2 linked regions of the Saccharomyces cerevisiae S288C genome follow. Changing the gene in region 1 together with any one later gene gives a genetic interaction. Each region holds a gene or a part of one and is shown in the gene's direction. Other genes may lie near its edges.

Region 1 (3,650 bases):
TCCCTTGATGACCAAAATAAATTTTTACAAACTAGAGTTTCTGAATCTTTTGTGATTAGAACGTTTATTCTTATTTCTGAGGTTTTTAATTAGCAATAAAGAAGAAAAAACTGAAAGGAAAAGTCTAAATAGAAATACAGTAGTATTTCTTCAATTTCTCTGCTCTCCTTTCATTTACCACACCCATTTCAATTTTCTTTTTATTCCATATTTATTCAAAGGTGTTTGTTCATATGATGATTATAACAAAAACAAAAGCTGGAATTACTGGCTGAACGAGTATATGTTGATACGTTTTTGCACTATCCTGACCTAGCAAACACCTTTAAAATAAATACTAGAAAGTTGACACATTTCCATAAATTGGAAGAATACATTTAAGCTTAGAAAACAGTAGTTTTTTAGTGCTATTCTTCCGTAGATTGATGTTTTCGATCTATTTGATACAATGGAAATGAGGATCCACAGCACTGGGCACTGAGGGGGAAACAAATATCCTTTCAAATGAGTGACAATGCTTTAGCGGGCCTAGAAAACCCGCGCAACTGATCCATTGTAAGTTTTTCTGAGGGCTAACAGAATTTTCTATAGGGAAGAATGGATTTTTTTCTCATTTTCGTATAATTATGTGAATTGGTTTTTATGATGAGATATTTATAGATGACGAGTCTGATCATTCGTGAAGACACAACTATTAAAATTACCATTCATGCCTTTCTGAAGCTGTTTACATTATTCTTTTCGATTAGCAAAGAATTTGGAAATAGAAAAAAATCGACAGATAACTAGTTCATCAGTTGATGTGTCTGTATTGCTTCCATGTTTTTTAAAGAAAATTTCTACCTTAGAGACGTCAATGCTGCAGAAGATGAAACAAATTACTCAAATAGACAAGCATATGTCTGATCTTCATGATTGAAAAGAGCAATTAGTGTCTGATGCAATTTAAACTAGAAAATTTATCTGAGAGAGATGAGAGATCGTACAAACTGTTTCAAGGTTTTTAACTTTTCTCCAATTTCAAAAATTGTTTATGATGATTTCCACATTTCACGACGGTCAACTGCGTTTTTCGAATGTTTATCGATTAACTTTGATGATATTTCGCCTGTGACAGGGCGTGGTACTGAGCTTTAATATTTTTAGCAAATTTAGAAATTGGGTCAAGCGAACCATTGTAATGCTGACTATTTGGACGACTCTAATCTCTTCAATATATTTGAGTTCAAATATATTAACTTGAGTAAATTTTCTCTTGCGTTAATTATAACTAATTGTGATGTGATGACAACTTCTTGAGCTATATATTTTCTTGAGAACATCAATGAAGAAAACGTCTCATCAAATGATTTGCACGTCAGTCTGATCACAAGCCATATAAAATTCTTTAAGTATTTTATCCATTCTACCTTTTTCATCTGTTAGTGATCGATTAAAGCAACACCCAGACATTACATGGCCCATATGGCAAAAATTTTCATCTCATCTACCTCATCACTGTGTGCATTTAGTGTATGAATGACTACTTTAAGCAATTTAACCAGTATATACGTATAAAGAGGTCAAGTGTACGGATAACCCAAAGGAAACATGCCTTCCGAATCATCCGTCTCTATCTACAAGCTTGATCAGTTGGAGTATCAGTACCATTATTTGACAAAATCATTACAGAAGTTTGAACCAAGATATCCAAAAACTGCCAAATTATACAATTGTATAGGTAAAAAGAACAAAAAGAAAATTGAAAAACTGTTAAACTCTTTAGAGTTGAAAACTTTGGACAAAGAACTAGATGAAAGTTACTCAAAGTTACTCAATAATAAGATTCACTATTACGAGACGCATTTATCAAAATGTATAAAAGAACAAATTCAGAAAATATCCAAAAAAAATTCTAGTAAAGTGAAGGATGCTCAAAAAAATAAATCACCCTCTATAGATATTGAAAAGATGCTTGCTACGCAGTTGTCATTAGATGATTTAGCACTCTTCATGACAAGATTTAGGCTGATCAAAATCTTACACCAGAGGATCAAACAAAAAAGCAAAAAGATTGAAGGTGATACGAATAATAAAACTTGGTTGAATAACAATGATTATAGTGGTTATATCAATGATAAGACAAGTAAGTGGAACCCAAGCAATATATGGAATGAAGTTATTACGAAGCTGCCAAGTTGTGAAAAGTTAAACGCACTAATTGGTCAAAGTAAAATCGTTCAAAATCTAACCGAATCATTCGATTTGAGTATTTGTCTCATATTTGGATTTGATGTAAGCGCTATGAAAGCAAAGAAGTATGGAGCAAGGGAGAAGACGGCCAATGCTAATCAGACGCACTCCAACATTGACTATGACACCGATGACGGCAATGAAAAGAATGCCATCGATAGCAAATCTAATGCGATCGGCGCACAAACTCAAAGCAATAAAGAAACAACGTCCGACAATGAGGATCTATTGATAAAGGAATACGAGGGAATGCTAGGCAGTTCAGGAGATGAAGGGGAAGGCGGCGGATACTTGAACCCTAATATCAATTACAATGAAGTAACAGATGAAGAACCTAGCGAAGCGTCATCCGATGAGGATGACAGTGACGAACGCTTCAGCGACTCTGAAGAGAATGAACCAAGGAGAAAAAAACCAAAATTGCATAATTTACCTGAACTAATGGCTGGTTATTACAGTGGAAATGACACTGAAGAGGAAAGCGATGAAGACAACAAAAATGTTAAGGGAAAGAAGAAAAAGAGAGACACAGCAGAAGACCGTACGGCCAGAGAGCAGATGTCAAACGAGCCAAAGAGGAAAAACAGACGTGGGCAAAGGGCAAGAAGAAAGATTTGGGAAAAAAAATACGGCTCACAAGCCAAGCACGTTCAAAGGGAATTGGAAAAGGAAATGGAAGATAGAAAGCAGAGGCAAATCGAGTACGAAGCAAGAGTAGCTAAGCGTGAAGCTAAAGCAGCATCATTAGAGGCCTCTAGGAGTAGGGAACGCGAAGACAGACGTACTGAAACGAACAATAAGAAAGAAAAAGAAAGTGCATCCACTGGAGAAGAACATCCTTCTTGGATTGCAAAAAGATTAGCTGAAGAAAAATTACAAAAAGCTAAATTTGAAGGTAAGAAGATCAAATTTGATTGAACATAACGTCTTCATCTCCTAACTTCATGTATAATAAAAACTATTAGCACATCTATTTTATATATGTACGCGTATATCTTACATCGTACCGTTATAGCATTTGAATTATTGAGCTTTTGTATCATCTACCGCTGTCATGCTCGCCTTCACGGAACTTAGTTATGCGAAAAAGAATTCAGGAAACCAAAGCTGGCAGGGTGAGTATTTGTTTGTAAAGTCGCACCTTTAGCAGATCATTAGCTGTAGCGTATGGAAGAAAACTAAATGAAATTGTTTATAAAACCTGAATATGATAAAAGAAATCTAAATAATAAATATGATTGCTATATAATAGTTATATTTGAAATGAAGAGAAAGGGAAGAAAATAAAAGTATTCAAAACGCCAACCCTTAATGAAGTAAATATGATTTATTGTCTGGACAAAGTTCTGTTTTTCCCCATTATTCGAAGACTTCTCCAGTAATTGGGTCTCTCTTTTTGAAAGTCAGTAACAAATCAT
Region 2 (3,036 bases), on another chromosome or scaffold:
TATAAAAATCAAAGAACAGGATAAAGAAGATGTTAACAAATTGTTAGAGGAGGACACTTCAAAGATAAATAACTTGGAAGAACTTGAGAAACAGAAAAAACTGTTGCAACTAGAATTAGCTAATTTGGAAAAATCACAGCAACGTAGAGCAGCAAGGCAAAATTCGAAGAGAAATGGTGGTGCCACGAGAACAGAAAACTCTGTGGATAATGGTAGCGACCTTGCCGGTGTAACTGACGGGAAAGCAGCCAGGAATAAAGGTAAGAACACTACAAGGAGATGTGCTACATGCGGACAAATCGGGCACATTAGAACAAATAAATCTTGTCCAATGTATAGCAGTAAAGATAACCCTGCTTCACCAAAGTAGATTCAGTATAACGATGTATTGATCGAATAAAACTTTTGTAAAGGTTTTGTATAATGTAACAATAAAGAAATGTACACTATGTTTCTAAACACTGGCAGTGATCAGATTGATAATTTATTGAGTCATATCCTTAAACGATGGACGTGGTGTGTGAATGTGCACTTTTGCAGTAAGATGAAAAGTGCATATTATTTGAGTTCCATTAATATAGCCCAACTCACTGATTAAACACAATAATTGTTGTCTTTGTGCTCGAGTATTTAAAGCTTGTATTTTTCCAGTCTGATTGGAAATCACAGAGGTTAAAACATAAAGGACAATAGCAGAAAAGGTTCCCTAATATGCATTTTTCATACTGGTTGCTCTTTTCCTTTACAAAAGCAAATTCTTACTCAAAATTTAATCTTTTTCCCTATAGTAACCTGTTTGTCTTGATAAATATAATATGATTTATGTAGTTTTATTACTATAATTATATCAAAATTTTAATTTGTGTCTATTTTTTCCTCAACTAAGTTACCTTTTTTCATTTATATGCATTTGTGACGCACTCAAAAGTGTGATGCTGTCGTCAATTTTATAATGTTAAGAATATTAAAGCAAAAGTTTCCTAAAGTAATATCTGAAGTGCTCTAAAATCATAGTTTATCAAAAAATGCAACATTTCGAAAGTTCAGATAAGATAGAAAAGGATGATGATACATCAAGAATTAAATTACGCTCTTCTTCTTTGGCCGCTCCAATCCTCGAGGCTGTTCAAGAAGCCCAGCCTTTTGAAGAAGCCACTTTCTCTAACTTACAGAAGATACATCCGTTAACAGAAAACTCAACTTGCAATGGTTATGTTATTTACGATAAAGATGGAAATTTGAAATCCATGAAGGATACATTTGGTAGGAATATAAAAACACCTGATATTTCAAATCCTACAAGAGCAAGAAATGAAAGGCCATTGGATACAATACGTGGATTTGAATACTCCATAACAAAAGATCCCCGCTGGTTGCAAGAGCTAGAAACATCTAAGTTGGGATTTAAACCTAGACCTGGATTTGCCGTCATTAATCAAGACTCACAGGCTTCAATAAATTTATCTCAACTGGAAGAAAAAGTTATGGAAAGCCAAAAAAAAAAGGAGAAAAGACACATATCACGGCTTTCTCGGTTACTCTGCAGATGAATATAAAGATAAGTACGCTAAGATTATAAAAAGTGCTTGAAGCTCAAAAATATGTATTCCTTTAATTTCTGCGGTACCCTATGCCGGAGCACTAAGAAAAACACATTCAAAAAAATTTTCATACTCATCTCATCTCTACAATTAAACAATACATAAAACAAATATCGTGACTTAGTTATTTTACTTATATCATTCAATAAACCTAATCAATCAATGGCTAAATTACAGAGGAAGAGAAGCAAGGCTCTTGGGTCATCTCTAGAGATGTCCCAGATAATGGATGCAGGAACAAACAAAATTAAAAGAAGAATAAGAGATTTAGAGAGGTTATTAAAAAAGAAGAAAGATATACTTCCATCCACAGTAATAATAGAAAAGGAAAGAAATTTGCAAGCTTTACGGTTGGAATTGCAGAATAATGAACTCAAGAATAAGATTAAAGCCAACGCTAAAAAATATCATATGGTGAGATTCTTTGAAAAAAAAAAAGCATTGAGAAAATATAACAGATTATTGAAGAAAATAAAAGAATCTGGCGCAGATGATAAAGATTTACAACAAAAGTTGAGAGCCACTAAAATTGAATTATGTTACGTGATAAATTTTCCCAAAACTGAAAAGTATATTGCACTATATCCGAATGATACACCATCTACAGACCCAAAGGGCGTAGAATTGACAAATCTTAGAAGAGAACAATTTCTTAAATTAGTAGCTGAAAGAATGGATGCGAACACCTTAAACGTATCTTTCGAAGAGATATTGAAGGGAAAGAAATTGGATGAAGATTCCATCGGATTAACATTATCACCTGATAAAGATCATGAGGATGGATCACAAGTATCACCTACACAGGATAGAAAAGAATTGGATCAAGTTGTGGGAGAAGATGAAAAGGATGACTTTTTTGAGTAAAAAAATTCTAAATGCGTTATGTAAGAAAATATATACGAAGATGTATACTAGATAGATTTCCACTGTTATCTTTCACAAAATAATTGTTGTTTTAATTGTGTCTCACTAAGAGATTAGTTTATGGACCATATCATAACGTAATCCTAAAGCGTCATTAATAAGGGAAAATTGCAATTCTTCGCCACGAATTTCTTCGGGAATAAATAGATCACAATGTATTATGACCTCTTTATTCATTTGTTTTGGTTGACACCTTTTAATCATCAGCAGTTCATCGCCTTTGTGTCCAATTAAAAACCATAGTTCTTTTTGTATCTTAGGGAATTTATCACAATATACTTCAAACCCATTATTATGCTTACTAGAAAGGTGCTTGCTATAAAATGTTAACACCTCGTTATTTTCCTGTTCTTCAAATTTCATGCCTTCTAAAACCGGTAATCTTTGGCAGACACTGACGAAACGTTTTTTCGTATCTTCGCTTTCTGTCATTCCAAAAGTTAGTTGATCAAAAACATTTAATAATTTCTTATATCCAAACCTTCCTATTTCCTCCAAGGTTAACAGCTTT

What was found.
Region 2: mutations in BUD22 (region 1) and EFG1 are lethal when combined (synthetic lethality), as found in Saccharomyces cerevisiae (one study listed by BioGRID).

What each region holds. Positions count from the first base shown.
Region 1 is NC_001145.3:297,278-300,927, forward strand, and holds BUD22 (Bud22p), read left to right. Parts: upstream 1-1,590; coding exon 1,591-3,150; downstream 3,151-3,650. Other genes in the region: ERG5 (C-22 sterol desaturase), read right to left, coding at 3,592-3,650. UniProt on the Saccharomyces cerevisiae protein: Involved in positioning the proximal bud pole signal.
Region 2 is NC_001139.9:1,037,229-1,040,264, reverse strand, and holds EFG1 (Efg1p), read left to right. Parts: upstream 1-1,763; coding exon 1,764-2,465; downstream 2,466-3,036. Other genes in the region: TAF1 (histone acetyltransferase), read left to right, coding at 1-370; YGR273C (uncharacterized protein), read left to right, coding at 1,026-1,550; SLH1 (RNA helicase), read right to left, coding at 2,571-3,036. UniProt on the Saccharomyces cerevisiae protein: Involved in rRNA processing. Required growth at elevated temperatures, resistance to hydroxyurea and for cell cycle progression.